4 linked regions of the Neurospora crassa OR74A genome follow. The protein of the gene in region 4 interacts with the protein of the main gene of each other region in a pairwise test. Links are inferred from orthologs where the notes say so. Each region holds a gene or a part of one and is shown on either strand. Other genes may lie near its edges.

Region 1 (4,244 bases), on a different chromosome or scaffold from region 4:
CGCGATCTTGGGTGTGGTGAGCTGTTGCTCGTAGAAGACGTCGATCATCTGCGAGATCAGGTCTCCGACGTTGACGAGTTCGATGAAGGTCACCAGAGGCGCCACCCCGCCCTTGTCATGATGGGAGACCTCGCGCGGATTGTATTGCGAAAGATGGGCGACTGCCTTGTCGAAACCGGGCTTAATGTGACGGCTGCCGAGAATGCGGAGCAAAGCGACGAATATGGCCTCGCATTGCTCGCGAGCTTCGCCGCCAGCTTGTCCGCCGAGTTGAATGAAGACAGCGGCGCGGCCGAGACTGGATTTGGCCATGTGGACGAGACTGAGGGCAATTTCGATGCTGAAGAGGGACTTGATTCCCTCTAGTCTGGACGTCATTAGCGCAGCCTTTGCTGCTAGTTCATCCGTGGGGGCCTTGTCCGGCAAGGGACTTCCTGTACGATCAACAGTTACTGGCGCCGCCAGACTAGGAGAGACTGGATGAGACTGCTCAGGGTTTTCCGGCGCTTGTAGCTCGCCGCCGTTCGCTGCTGCTGTCGTGGCTGTCGTAGGGGTTGTGGCAGGCTTTGAAGCAAACGGCGACCCTAACGGCAAACTTGGCAGAGCCGACACGGGCATCATGACCACTTTTTTGAACGACGTCAAGAAGTCCTTCTTATCCGCCTGCCTGTTGGTGAAGCTGCCCATGTAGAACGATTCCGCAGTAGCATCCTGCTCCGACAGCTTCTTCTCCCACTCTCCCACCTCCGCCTCCGCCTGCTGGGTAAAGTAATCCAACTCATCCGCCAGATAAAGATCTAAATGCTGCTCAAACACTTTGAGCGCATATTCCTTTGCCAGCTCCTCCTGCTCCTTCGCGTTCTTCTCGTTCTTCGGTGCATTTACCGTCCTAAAGAACTGCAACGTCTGCTCAAACAGACCAGAAACGGCCTTCACATACGCCGCCAGGCTCCTCTCGTGCGTCTCGTCAAACAACGGCGTCACGTAATCCGTCAAGATATCATCCCTGATTTTCCCCATCAATAACCAAAACACCTCGGCCGGCTTCGGAAACACTCGCTGGATGATATCCGCCTGCTCATTGACCTTGGCCGTCAACACCTCAAAGAACCGCCTCGACGGCTCTAGCGTAACATCGTCTGCCAGCGCCTGATTGACGCAATCCATTGGGTTCGCCAATACCTCCTTATCCGTGAAGATCGGATGTTTATGGATAAACAGCTCCACCGCCGCCGTCCCGCCGTTCAGCAGATCCAATACGTGCGCATACTTGTGCATCCTCCCATCGACGTCCCAAAACTCGTAACCCGTCTCAAACTCGTGCAGCACCGCGCTCTCGAAGATGCCCGCCATGGTCGCCAGCTTCTCCTCGCGCTGCCGCCAGCCAGCGGCCCAGTCGGACTTGGCAAACGTCCGCAGGTTGGCCAACATCTGTGCTTGCCGCTCCGGATCCCGAAACACGCGAAAGACGACCGGGTCGGTGTGCGATTTCGCTTTGGCCAGGTCAAAGTAGAACGGTGCTAGCGCGCCGTAAATCTTGCCATACTCTTGTCGGGCGTGGCCGCGGATGGAACGGGCGTTTTTGATCACGTTCAATAACGCTTCGGGGTCCGAAAAGGGGTCTTTTTGCGGCGCCGTCGGTAGCAGTCCCCCTTGTCCTCCGCCCACTTTCATCGTCTCAAACCCATCCTGCAACCCTTCCATCTCCTCCATCGCCCTTCTCTGCGCCGCCGCCTGAATCGCCTCCTCCCTTTTTTTCTGCTCTTCCGCGATCCTCTTCCTCCTCAGCTCCTCCTCGCCTGCATCGAACAGGGTCGTCGTTATCACCGGCGGCGGCGTTGGGTACTGTTGTTGCAATCCAGGAAACAGCTCCAGTGATTGTCCAGGAAACGGCTGTCCTCTCCCTATTGGCATTGATCCTCCTGTTGTGCCCGTTGCTGCAGCAGCGGCAGCGAGTCGTTCCCGCTCCGCCCGTTCGGCGGCTTCGCGCCGTCGCTTCATTACTTCCTCGAACCGCCGCCGCGCTTCCGCTTCGTCCCACACCCCCATAGAGCGCAGGCGGGCAACCCAGCGGGTGTCGTCGTAGACCATCTCGCGCATGCGGCGGGAGGTGCGGGCGAAGCGGAGGAGGTCGGAGACGGGGAGGTAATCGAGGATCGTGACGAGGATTTCTACGAGTATCGACGTATTTGTTAGCTGGTATTGGAAAAAAAAAAAGAGTGCTTTGGGGGTAGCAGAGGATAGGTGGCATACCGGCTGGTAATACTGGCTTGGTATCAATCATTGTGGTCGCTCGGAGGGCGTTCAAGATGCTGCCGTTCTTGCTGTGGCCGCCTCCTGCCATCATCGCTGACGAAGATGTGGACTTTGGCCCGGCACCAGCCATGGAGGCCCTTTTGAAGTTGGACATGGTGTTGTGATGGTGTCTCGGTCCGTGAATATCGTTGTTGTATTGTAGTAGCTAGCTAACTGTAGTCCGATGTTGGTATTGCTGTTGCTGATGTTCGAGGCGGTGGTGTCGTGAACGGATGGTGTATGTAGGTAGTAGAGGTAGTTCAAGGCGGGACGTATCGTAGATTCATGCTGCTGCCGGGCAGAAAGATGTTGGAAAAATCGTTGCCCTCGTTGTAGGCCGCCCCGCCGTCGTGAGATGCAATACTACCGATACGAGGATTCGTGATCGGTCGATTGGACAGCATTGAACAGCATGCCAGCTCCGTAGTTGTCAACAGAAAGGCGGAATGGAAAGCAGCAGTCCAGGGCAGGTTGGATCGATACGACGAAAGGCCGTGGTCCCATGTTGATGCCCGCACCTGGGCTTATCACGTAACTGTAACTTCAGAGTCAGGGGTTGCCTCGCGGGGCTCCGGAGCAAAGAGCTACATTGGGCCAAATATAGCACCCTTTTACAGCAGAGTAAGGGTCCCGGGTTAGGGTTGTATGTGGCAAACACCAAACTGCGCCACCCCCTGACTACCTACACACGCACAAGTCTGAACAAGACAATATCCAAACAAAGAACAACCGACAATGGCACGTAGTTAAGCGGTCATGTCCATCGATACAGTGATATTTCTTAAAGTCATGTCAGACCTTGTCATCGCCTCTATTTACAACTTCGGTATGTCGTTTCTAGCGATGTAGCCTGATTAGACGACAGCTCAATTTCATCATAGCTCGTCCTTGACGTACTGTGATTCAACCGGGGCCACTGGGGCAGCCTCGGGCAGGTCCTCCATGGCTAGGATCTTGACCACCAAGCTGGTCCAGCCGGTGAAGTGCTGTGTACGCTGACCCTTGCCCGTTTCCGGGTTGTACTGTTCCCACGCAAAGCCCGTTTCCTCCCAGCTGTTGTAGATGGTTTCGACAACGTTCTTGCGCAGTCTTTGATACATGTCGCGGGCCGTCTCTTGGTAGGGCCCTTCTTGGGTTGCAAGGTTCTAGTGGGTGTCAGCATGCCGCTTTAGCTCAATTTATGGTTAAGGAACAGTCAACTTACGTGAAGCTGGGTAATGATAAGGTAGTTGATGTTGATCCAGATGGGACTTCTCCAGTAATTCTCGGCAGTGCCGTAGTTCTCATCCTTCTTGCTCAAGCTGCGGATGCCATAAGGGCTCCATAGCTCCTCCTCATCACCAATAAGGGCCAGAATCTTGCCGAGCTTAGGGCTATCGGGCTTCAACAGGCCAGTCAGGAATGGGGAGAGGGAGATGTATCCCTTGTGGCACACGAGTTGGTGCTCCTCAAACTCATCAATGGTGGCATCGCAGTAGCAGCCGTCCTTCTCAGACCAGTGCAGGTCATCAAGATTGTGCTCGATTCCGTCGAGAACCTTTGTGTAATCCTCAACCTCCTCGGGCGCAATGACTTCGGCGGCGTTGGCCAGCGACTTAGCCATTAGGCCAACCCACGACATGAGGTCGACATGGAGCTCACCAGGGTGAGGTGGCTGAGGGCGAGGGTAGTCGTCCAAGCCACTAGTCAAGCAGTGCGTGAGGGTGCGGCCGCGCCACCTATAAGCCTCACGGGAGGAATAGGCGTCGCGATCGTAGGACTTGATGTCACCGTACTGTGTCTTCTTGAACCAGTAGAACTGGCGGCGAAGAAGCGGGTAGAGGCGGCGGAGATACTCGAGTCCTACCTCAACGTTGTCGATAGACGCACTGGAAAGAGAGACGCCTTGGGAGAGGTGTTCTTTAACAGCAGGCATGGTGCCATTAGCGTTGCGCAGCCTGTTGACAAAG
Region 2 (4,009 bases), about 750 kb from region 4:
ATGGTGGTCAAGGTATCTTGTCCCAAAACGTGTGCCATCATATCCAAGACAAGCGTGGTGTGTAGCTGATATAGAATGATGTCTTTGGTGTAGCTCGACGTGCGTTTATCGAGACATTGCGACGAGAAAACACAGCACCAGAATTGTTTGCATCACGGAGGGAGAGATTTAGAGTACATTGATACAAGGTCTGAACTTACAGTGCTTATCAGGCATGGCTAGATATTATCCCTGGAGCTCCGTCAGCCTGTTTCGACATCCACAAGCCGACATGGGCTTAGGCCTTTTAAAACCCCTCGAATGTCTGGAAAGCTTCCATCATGATGAAAACGGAAGCCAGACTTGGTCACCCCGCAAAATTCCCCAGGAAAGCAACCTTGTCGTGGGTCAACATGATGGAAAGAGGCAGAAGATGCTATTCCGAGAACACCGAGGTCGAGATTGAAGCCAGAATGGAAATGTCCGTGCCGCTGACCACGGCCCGGACTGTCTCACGATGTTTATCGGGTGGATATCACGACATGGTGCCTGGATGGGATGTTGACATGCACGGGGGAGACGGGAAGGACGGGATATGTAGATAGCGTCCATTCAAGTTGGGTTAAATGGAGACGACGCTCCACATCAAGCTGTCGTCAACAGTGCGATTGGGATTGTGTGGTCTCTGGGGACTGTGGCCGCAGTGACGTTGATGTCCGTCTTCGGAGTCCTTCCTGTCGACGACATGAAGCCGCTCCAAGGTCAGTCAAGCTGAGACGGTCGAGTGATTCAAGACGACGACGGGAGGCATGCTGTGGTCAGGTTGACAGAGGAAAAGAGAGAAAGTTGATAAAATTCAAAGTCGCCATATTAGAAATCCATGCACTTGGTGGCGAAACAACAGTCTGCTTATTTTGTTTTAATAATCGTGAGACATGTGTCGTGGTGTTGATGCTGAACCTCCAATTAGGGACCTGGCTATGGCACGTGACTGGCACTGGCATCATTGAATTGAGCTACGGAGTCTTGACTGTTAGATACTTGCTGTACTGCTTTGCATAGAGTATAACAGCCAGTACATCCCCGCATTTTACAGTGGGCCCGGTGATGTCGCAATTCTGGCGACAAAGCAACAAAGCGAAAAAAACGAGGATGGGTGACTCCACTCTGTACCTGGGAGCTTCCCGCGCCCCACCCCAGTTGATTTCGCCATTTTGCCCTTCTCTTTGCGATCAAGAGCGACGGCCAATCTTGTCTCTTTCCGTCTGCAACATTTCACAGTCACACACACACAGAGAGAAGGAGCAACGAAGTCAAGACACATCCGATTTCAGGCGGTGTGAAGCAACAGCTGAGGTTCAACACCCCGTTGCGATACTGCCCGAGACTTCCACTTTGCCATTTTGGAAAGAGTGCTCTCTCTAAGGTAGTATACCTCATCCATTCCATCCGTCACCGACAGGCGACAGCCGTTCCAGAGCTGTCACTTACCTGGTATTCGGTTACATACCTACCTCTACGCTACTGTACAAAGAGGGAGCACGGGCACTCGTACCCGACACCTACAGTAGCTTCCTTCAAAGAGCAAGAGAGCAGTCACATACCTACTAGCTGCCCAGACTGAAAGGAAGAGACAGCAAGGCACCGAAAGCCGGAGAGACTAGAAGTTTGAGACATTCCACTTGGACAACAGAAGTGGAACAAGTGAACCTGGAAATAGGTCAGCAGCGGTCATCATCATCACAGTACGTAAACCACCAAAAAAGACCCTTTAAACACTTTGACTCGGATCGATGGCGACCAAGGTGCTGTGCATTGCGTGAGGTGCCACCTTGTCCCGTCCACATCCTCGCTGCTCCCGTCCTAGGTCATCCTCCAACAGACATCGATTCCTCCTTAACGTGATTGCCCTCCAAACTGCAGCTATACTGCGCTGCACCAGATAAGAGTGCACTAACACTTACACCGCACCAATAACAACAGGTCCAACAACGTGCCCACCTCCACGGCAGGGAATCAATCCTTCAACGGTCCCTCTTTCATCTCAGCTGAGCTCTTCCTGATCGCCTCCAGTCCTCCTCCCTCCCCGGGGCTCCATCTCCAATCCTCCGCCAACAACATCCAGATCCCATCACGTGTCCATCCATCCAGAAACATCAAGATCGCCAGTTGGGCTGCCCGGCATCACATCGCTGCTGTTTGTTGTCTGCGGGACCCTGCCTTCCTTCTGCTCCTCCTCCAGCTTCATCTAGACCTGCCCAACGGTGGAGCGAGTCTGGATTCCGCATTAACGAGATTGGACCTTTGAGACGGTAGACCGCCCAAACATCGACCACACCAGGGCATCCATCCATACACCTCACATCAACCAGCCCGATCACGCAAGACCACATACCCTTTCCCGCCCCAGCCTGACCGACGGGAGTACCTACTACTAGTACATACCTTGGACTGGACAGGACTGGACAGGCAGGACAGTAGTGTACAGGACAGCACTGCGATACATACAGCAGCAATCTGCGTCCCCTGGTCAGCACGCCATCCATCGCCCTCTAGCCGACCAATGCTTGGTGTTGCCTCTTCCGCCATTCAACAACAGAACCACGCAACCGCAAACGCACTCTAAATTCCCCCTCAGAACGCACAATCGCAGCGTCATTCTGGGCCCGGCGGTCCTCGACTCCCCCTTCTCCCAATGGATTCCTACCACCTCGCCCCGTCTCGTCCGACTGCGAGCTTCGGACATGATAATGACGCCCCGCTCCAACATGGGCCTCTAGTGAACTCCTACTCTCATCACCATAACAACCACTCGCGCGACACCGACTCCGATCCCACCGACCAAAACTGCGACCGCAAACGACCCGAGCAACAGGCAAGGTTGCGCTCCCGCAACAGCGTCACCAACATGTCGTCCGTCCTCATGAGCAAGACTGTCACGCCTTTCCTTCGGGAACACATTCCCAGCATCTACGCCCCCATCGGCAAGCCGGGGAACCAAGAGACGGCCAGAGCAGAGAACCCCAATTCCAAGTACTGCTATAGACACCACCCCGACTCAAAGTGCCGAAGGGCTGCCGACAAGGCCAAGATGGTCATGATTCAGAGCGAGCTAGACAAGCTCACATCAGCGGTGGGTCTTCATACAAAACATAAACATTGATTGCTTCTTGTCTCCAAGGTTTGGTGGACTGACTGGTACCTTGCTTGAAATAATAGGATCAGCAAGCTGTGACCCACGTGTGGTCCCTGTTCTCGGCCGCCCCTGCCCGACATCGCGACCTGATGCTTCAGGGTATCCTCTCCCAGCTCTGCTTCCCCCAGCTCTCCTTCGTCTCGAGAGAAGTCAACGAAGCCCTCAAGATCGACTTCATCTCCGCCCTCCCCGTCGAGCTCGCCCAAAAGGTCTTATGCTATCTCGACACCGTCAGCTTGACCAAGGCCGCCCAGGTCAGCCAGAGGTGGCGAACCCTGGCCGACTCGGATGCCGTCTGGGTCCGCATGTGCGAGCAACACGTCAACAGGAAGTGCACAAAGTGTGGATGGGGATTGCCCTTGCTGGAACGCAAGAAGCTGCGCAACTACACCAGACAAAGACAGCTGGCCAAGGGTGGGCCACAAGGGAGGGTCACAGAACTGGCCGACTCCCACGACAGCCAGGATCGATCCGTCAATCAACATGGAAAGCGCCCGGCAGCAGAGGCGGAGGAAGAGGACCCCATCAAGAAGCGCCAGTGTATGGCTGCAGCAGAAGCCTCCAAGGCGGTAACGCAACCCAAGACCCGAAGCTGGAAGGCCGTCTACCGGGATCGCTGGCAGGTCAGCTACAACTGGAAAAACAGCCGATACAAGTTGTCGGTTCTCAAGGGTCATGAGAATGGTGTCACATGTCTCCAGCTCGATGATAACATCCTTGCGACTGGATCGTACGACACCACTATCAAGATCTGTATGTGGTCTTGCTTCTTTAAACATTGGTGCTCGCTTTAAACTAACACATTGCTGACAGGGAACATTGAGACTGAGGAGT
Region 3 (3,355 bases), on a different chromosome or scaffold from region 4:
GTTCCTTTTGCTTTTTGTTTTATTTTCTTTTATTTTGTATTTTTTGAGCTCAGCTCTTTTTTCTCACCCGCCTTCGTTATTCGATTCGGCAATCCTGATCTTTCGGTATTGTTGCCGCGAGTCTTCTGACGGTGCCCCTCCTTAGTCTACCGAAAGGACAGCCAATGTTCGGGTAAGCAGGGCGGTTTGATGCTCGTACCTTCGAAATGGGTGGCAATAAGGCAGTCAAGGATTGACTGTGAAGAGATCAGGCTTTTTTTTCCGCCGTCGAGTGCTTCTTAACGAGCAGGGCCAGATACAAGGCTTAGCAGCGCAGCGCAAGGGGGAGGGGGGAAGAATAGTTGGAATGGAACGCTACATAAAAACGGTGGAATGGGGTCCGGGCATCTCGAGATAAAGGAGTGAAAGAGGTATGGTATGATAAATGGTCATACCATCAAAACTTTCAGGATTGGCTGCCAACACTCTCTCCAGGAATGGCCAGCAAGGGAGGCATACACATTTTTGCAGTAGGGAAGCCTGGAGGCTCTTTTTGTTTGGTAAATCTTAATCTATATATTTTTTTGGGCATTTTTGTGATCAATCGACGCACTCTTATTAGTCTGAATTTCTTTTTCTTCTTCTTTTCTCCATCATCATCGTCGTCCCAATCCCTCACACAAAACGTGGTCTTCAGTGACCTTGATACTCCTTACAAGTAGACAGATGGCTTGATGGGTGGCAAAGAGTAGTGAATGTACTGCAGTTCGCCAAGTTCTGTCTTATGTGGCTGCTGGACTGCGACCATTCGCATAATGAATTTCGAACCCAGAAATCCACAGCAGACCCGAATATTTGCGCCCTCTAAAACCACCGAGTCTGAAGTTGATCTATATGATGCTGGTCCCGCCTCATGTGTGTTCCTAAATCCAGATCCGTCGGAGAGGAAAAAGAAAAATATTCAATCGCTGAGTGAACGCCGTCGCTATGCAACAAAAACACCATTACCGCCAACCAAAAGGCCGGGGCATACCGGTCCAGAACCACTCTCAGTCCAAATCCATCTTATCCGCGTCAACCACAGCGGCGATCCCCGCCGCCATGCTCGTCTCTTGTGACAGCCCAATACCACTGCCGACCTCCTTCTCATCCTCAACAAACACACCCAACCCAGCAAACGCTTCATACAAGGCGCGCGCCGCAAAGTCGTCAAAGCTGTACCCACCAGCAACGTGCTGTCTGTCCAACCGGTACTTCTCCATAAGCGGGTGACTCAAGCCTCCATGTAGCTTGTACCGACTAGGCGCGAAGTCCATGCCTCCAAAGGGGTCGTACGGGCCCTGTGGCGCCGGCGCCTTCGGCTTCTCCTTCAAGCCGCGGATGGACAAACGCTCAACCTCCGACGCGCCCGTGCCCATTCCCGTTGTTGCGATGGCAGGGTTGGAAGCTGTTTCAGCAACCCGATTCACCTGCCCACGCCTCTTTAGCTGTACCTTCGTCGCCGGCTCCGCTGTCATAGCAGTGGTTCCCTTGGCCAGGTTATCCAGCTCCATTTCGCGACTCCTCACCCTCTCTCTTTTCTCCGCCTCCGCCTCCTTGATAGCCTCAATCCTCCTCTGCCTGACAGCATCCCTTTCGGCTGCCAGCCTCACTCTTGAAATCTCATCCGCCTCCCTCCCCGCCTTCTTATTCCGTTCAATATCCGCCCTATGCTCCGCCTCCCATGCCTGCAATTGCGCCTCCGCCTGCCGTCTCCTCTCATCCGTCCCATTGACAAGTTCAAACGTCAAATCTTCCACCATCTGCAAGTAATTATTATAATCCTGGAGCGTCTCAAAGTCGTCCTCGACTTGGTTGAACACCGCCGCCACGCGACGGCGGATGTCGACCTCGCGCTCGACGGCCAAGTCGCCGAAAAAAGCCGAGCGGAAGCCCTTGCGACGGAGCGTTTTGTTGCAGCCGGCGTGCGGACATTGATTGGGTCCGTCGTTGAAGAGTCGGTTGGCACAGTTGAGACACATGGAGTGGTAGCATTCGGGGTTGAAGACGAAGACGATGTCGGGGTTGAGGTACTTGCGCGATTTGCAGACGGGGCACATTTCGTCTTCGAAGCCGAGGGGGTCGAGAGGGCGCGCCATGGTGGGTGGTTTCTTTTTTTTTTGGGGGGGGGGGGGGGGGGGGGGGGGTTGTTTTGATAATTTCGCTTCGAGGAGACGGGGATCGATGTGCTGAAGTGGGATTTCCAAAGGTTAAATGATGGCCAAGAGAAATGTATGCTGAATTATAGCGAGGAGTGGGCGTTTCCCTTCGAAGGGACAGTAGTCCGTATCTGAGAACTCGGGACGTCTCTTGATGTGTCGGTGAGTGAGTGGCGATCGCGGCCCAAATCTTCTTTTATATCTGTTTGGTGATCGTGATTTGGCGACGAGGACTTGTACTCGTCTTGTTAGGTGATGAAATGTTGTTCTAAAATGCCAGCTCGGCTAGGCAGAAATTCCGGGTCACGCAGTCATGTATCAACGGTGGATAGGGAAGGTGATGAAAATCAACCAAGTGGAAGTCTGGGTGAAACCCGAGTGAGATTGACGATGTGGTGAAAGAGGGACTGATAAGAGTTATTATGCTTGGGCTGAATAATCCTTGTTTCCACTTGGCCCCCAACCGCGCCAGCGCTCCAATGGACGCTACCCTGGCGGTGCAGGGTGGGGCTTCCCAGATCATTCACAGCACGGCACTCTGCCGCGCTCATCTGGCAGCTCTGTCTCAGGGGACTGGACGCGGGCAAGCGTGGGGTGAGCAGGGGCTACCAGGGCAGTGACAGCAGCCGCTCGCGGGCAGCTCCTAGGATTGGGATTGGGCGGCCGCAGCCGTTCCATGCGGGTTACCTGCCCCTCCAGAAATTCGGTCATCGCGTTCAGGCGCGTTCCATCGTCTTCTACTTACATTACCGCACATTGCACCACTGCACCACTGCACCAAGCTGCCGTCGTTGCCCAATATCTACACCGAATTCAACAATACCACCTTCAACATGGCTGACAAAGGTGCGTTTTAGAGCTCAACTCCTCTTGCTCCCAAGACCAGAAAGTCCATCCGCCATCAACAGGTCCCACTAGTCAACTGACCAAACAATGTCAGACGTAACAGAGCTCACCCCCGCCGAGGAGGCCGCTGCCCGCGCCAAGGAACAAGCCGAGCAGGAGGCTCTCCCCTACAAGTGGACTCAGACGATTGGCGACGTCGACATCACCATCCTCGTCCCTGGTAACCTAAAGGGCAAAGATATGGTGGTTGAGATAAAGAAGCAGTCTCTTACGGCTGGTATTAAGGGTCAAGAGCCCGTCATCAAGGTAACCAACCTACTTGCCCACATATC
Region 4 (3,530 bases):
GGGGAACGTAAACTTTCGGAGTACTATGCTTTCACGGCAAACATTTAGAAGGACGGTTACTGGGGGAATTAGGATCTGAAATGAGAGAAAACGTGGTGCACGAGAGTTGATTCCCATATTTGTTCTACCCATGTTCTCGGAACTGTGCTACAAAATCGGTCTATGTACCATGTCGTGTGCGCATTATATCAAGGTCTGTGACACCGAGGGGGCTTGATCAAAAGACGTGGGCAATGTCCAAATCAGCCCGCCTACGTTCCATCAACGACTTCTGTACCCTTGGCTTGTATAAAGCGAGTAAAAATGAGCCATGATATACAACTTGGGTAAGCTCCCTCCTAGTCTCTCTGCAATCTGGACCATTAGTATGTTGTTTGTGTGCATGGGCAACTCCATGCCATCCTTGCGCCTGGCCATGGTTGAGTTCAAAACGCCAAATTGTCAGTGAAAAGGGCGGTTTCTGTACCTACCTGTTTTACCGGGAGCGCTCTAGCATGGAACAATGGAGGGTAGTGTGGATGTTGGCTGACTTTTCTTTCCCCTACTCTAAGGCCCATTTCTTCCTGGTGACTCCGCGCCTTGAACCATGAATAGCTGCCACGAAACAGAGGGTCGTTGTTGCTATCATTAGACTACAGTTCACATGATGGGCGTATTAAGCGAATACGAGGTGCCAATATGTAGAGTATGTTGGTGGTAAAGGGGGCCATCATGGCAACAACACGGAACAGAATCGTGACGACGTTGTCGGCCTTTACGGTGAGGACGTTCTCAGACACGTAAGGACCTGATTCACAAACTGTATCATCATAAGAAAACCCTCGATTCAGCCTAAGAAAACAAGGAGCCGTAGAAAAAAGCTAGAGAACAACGCCTCTAAACGCCTGCCAACGCAAAGGTACGATCGAACGTACTGAGTGGAAGAGCTTCGTTTGTGGCCCTCCCAGGAATGCCCAAACCGTATCACGTCGTCGTCGAAATGCTGTCGATAACACGAGATGTGTTTGATATCCATCTCCCAACATAACAGCTCTCCCCATATCCATCAAACTCGGCTAAAGTGTGCGTTCCGGTAGACGAAGCACAGGGGTAACCTCTGTCGTTGGCAGACGGTGATCCCGGCGTTGCAAAGTGACTTGACGTGGAAACTGGTCTTGATCGGCTAACGGTCTTCCGCCCATTCGTTCTCGCGGCGAATCTGCTCCTCCTCCTCTGGAGTGAAATCATTTGTGATATTGAACGTCTTTCGAATCTCCTCAGGGGACTTGCCCTTGATCATGTTGGCAACGGTCTTGCATCCAACATCAAGGAGGGGCTTGATGTCCATGTAGTTGGCAGCCTGGATGAGGAATATGTTAGCATGATCTGACCCTGCAGAACCCGAGTGATGTTTGCATATCAAGTAGCATCGGCGGGTAGAACGAGGGAGAAACCTACGAGAATGATCTCGAAGAGCATCTCCTGGTCAACCTGCATGAACTTCTGGTCCCATTCGTCGATCTCCGTGCTCTTCTTACGGCTGTCGTTCTCGTCCTCGGTAGTCTGGGGCGGGTCCTTGCGGTGGTGCTCGCACCACTCGACAACCTTTCGGAGGACAGGCTCGTTGACGTTTGGTAGGGGAATAGCCTCGTTCATAACAGCCTCGTCGCCCAAATCCTCAATCAGGTTCTTGATGAGAAGGGATCGCTCGGCAACAACACGATCTGTGTTTGACGCCAGTTAGTCGGCTGCAGTCGCAGGGAAAGAAAAGGAGACAGGCCGGGTGGCGGGGTGATTCTACTCACCGACGGTGATGATTTGGCCATCGTTGCTCTGGAGAGATACCTTCTGGAGGGCACGTTCGTCGTTCTCCGCCATGTTGAATGTCTGTAGTCGTAGTCTTGACGTTAGAAGATACGTCGATGGATGTTGATGGGTTGAGTTGGCTGTCTATGTGATTGATGCTGGTGGTGTAAATGATGCAGAGAGGGGATAGTTCAATTGTGGGGGAAAAAGTGGGAGACGGTGTTGTCATATAGTTACCTGTTTGCGCAAATTCAAGCTCAAATGTAAAAGTGACCTTGCTCTGAGTTGCAGGAGGTTTGGCAATAATGAGAGAAGGAACGCACGCGGTGTGATTAACTGGCTGCAGTGCGTGGTTCTTATGGTTTCCCCGTGAAAGGTTGCCTGTAGTTTGCTTGGGCTAGTGATGAAAGTACAGACGGAGGTCCGCGTGAGTGCCCGTTGGCGGGCGCAGTCGGTCCTTCCAACAAACGAATCGCCTCTGCCTTCATTTTGTGGAGCCCGCTGCACGCAGTCCAATTGCGCGCACGTAAAGTGCGTGCATAGACCACCTAGCAATCCTGGCGCGGCCCCTCAGCTCGTCAGCCTTCTTGGGTTGAAATATAATGGGGTTGGGTGGTCAGTGCCCAGGCCCTGCCTGGAGAGACGGATGGACTTGCTCCAACACGGAAGACGCAGAAACGCTCTGGAGAGAGAACCTGACCGTTCACGTGCCGTTCCATGTACTAACCTTTGGCACCACGCAGCTCCCATCAACGGAACGATGGGACATTTGCACACCAGTGATTAGATGTAGTATTTTGAGTCACGAAGAGACGATGTGGGGACCGTCGTTGGCGTGATCTGGGGACATTCGAAGCTACAGATGTCTTCATGCTTGCAATATACACAAAGCATTGCATTGGATAGTAAAAATAATCAAAGACCGGCACATTCCACGTACACACGAATTAGGTTCATTGACAGCTGACTACATGCGGTTTCCCACACGGGGACTATGCGTTTTTCCAGATGCTTTATATTCACTATGTATGTTCCGGCTTAGGATGATACGCCCGCACGCCCGGTAGATTTTACCCACGCTTGTAAGTTGGATGTCGGGATGTCAATAGCTTCAGTTGGAAAAGCTCCTAGATGAAGTATATACATGATGGACAACTACATAATGGTACCCAAAATTGTCCTCTGCTACTCTGGCTTTTGTTGCTATCTTGCATCATTGATACGGATTGTCAAGTAAAGGAATGCAGCTTGAATGTGACAAAAGCTGCGGTACCTCCCGTCCAACGAGCACAGAAAATCAAACTTCCGTGGGAGGAAGGACAAGGGGTCAACATGAGGGCCTATCAATATTCAAGGCCGCTTTGCTGGAGATTTATTTCACACTAACAGACCAGGACATCTTTTGCTTACCATCTGTCCGTATCGCAGTATGATGTACATTCAGATCACGAAGGCGAAATGTCAAGATTCCAAAGCTGTGTCCCGGCGCGAATATAGGTACAAATAAAGCTGTACATACATACTATGTAACTCGTCATTCATCCATGGTCCGGCTCGCGCAGATCGACCAGTTGCTGCACCCGTGCGGGAGGAAATTACCAAAGTACCTAGACTCGCGCCAACGACGCCAACGAGCCTGCCGACTGGCCCGAATGCGGAGGCGGGCTATAGACAGACTACCCCTTCTCCCTATATCTAGACTACTTAACCACTTAGGGCATGGTTCTAAGGCATCTGATCTATAT

The links.
Region 1: the proteins of scon-3 (region 4) and NCU03658 interact in binary tests that used the Schizosaccharomyces pombe proteins (3 or more experiments, as listed by UniProt). The link is inferred for Neurospora crassa OR74A from reciprocal best matches to the Schizosaccharomyces pombe genes skp1 and pof6.
Region 2: the proteins of scon-3 (region 4) and scon-2 interact in a two-hybrid assay, tested with the Schizosaccharomyces pombe proteins (2 studies listed by BioGRID). The link is inferred for Neurospora crassa OR74A from reciprocal best matches to the Schizosaccharomyces pombe genes skp1 and pof1.
Region 3: the proteins of scon-3 (region 4) and NCU02587 interact in binary tests that used the Schizosaccharomyces pombe proteins (3 or more experiments, as listed by UniProt). The link is inferred for Neurospora crassa OR74A from reciprocal best matches to the Schizosaccharomyces pombe genes skp1 and pmh1.

The regions. Positions count from the first base shown.
Region 1 is NC_026505.1:1,994,283-1,998,526, reverse strand, and holds the start of NCU03658 (secretion pathway protein Sls2/Rcy1), read right to left. Parts: upstream 2,807-4,244; 5' UTR 2,411-2,806; coding exon 2,254-2,410; intron 2,172-2,253; coding exon 1-2,171. Other genes in the region: gh63-1 (mannosyl-oligosaccharide glucosidase, variant), read right to left, coding at 3,171-3,440, 3,500-4,244. UniProt on the Schizosaccharomyces pombe protein: Together with skp1, essential for septum processing and cell separation.
Region 2 is NC_026503.1:4,897,051-4,901,059, forward strand, and holds the start of scon-2 (sulfur controller-2 protein), read left to right. Parts: upstream 1-1,203; 5' UTR 1,204-1,724; intron 1,725-1,962; 5' UTR 1,963-2,674; coding exon 2,675-3,112; intron 3,113-3,198; coding exon 3,199-3,928; intron 3,929-3,988; coding exon 3,989-4,009. UniProt on the Schizosaccharomyces pombe protein: Probably recognizes and binds to some phosphorylated proteins and promotes their ubiquitination and degradation. Required for the inactivation of zip1 via ubiquitination.
Region 3 is NC_026501.1:2,825,188-2,828,542, forward strand, and holds NCU02587 (RNA polymerase II transcription factor B subunit 3), read right to left. Parts: upstream 2,118-3,355; coding exon 1,029-2,117; 3' UTR 507-1,028; downstream 1-506. Other genes in the region: NCU02588 (nuclear movement protein nudC, variant 1), read left to right, coding at 3,011-3,023, 3,118-3,329. UniProt on the Schizosaccharomyces pombe protein: Acts as a component of the general transcription and DNA repair factor IIH (TFIIH or factor B), which is essential for both basal and activated transcription, and is involved in nucleotide excision repair (NER) of damaged DNA.
Region 4 is NC_026503.1:4,148,631-4,152,160, forward strand, and holds scon-3 (sulfur control-3 protein), read right to left. Parts: upstream 2,230-3,530; 5' UTR 2,023-2,229; exon of another isoform or gene 1,867-2,022; 5' UTR 1,858-1,866; coding exon 1,785-1,857; intron 1,704-1,784; coding exon 1,438-1,703; intron 1,340-1,437; coding exon 1,163-1,339; 3' UTR 501-1,162; downstream 1-500. UniProt on the Schizosaccharomyces pombe protein: Required for cig2 degradation in the G2 and M phases of the cell cycle. Together with pof6, essential for septum processing and cell separation.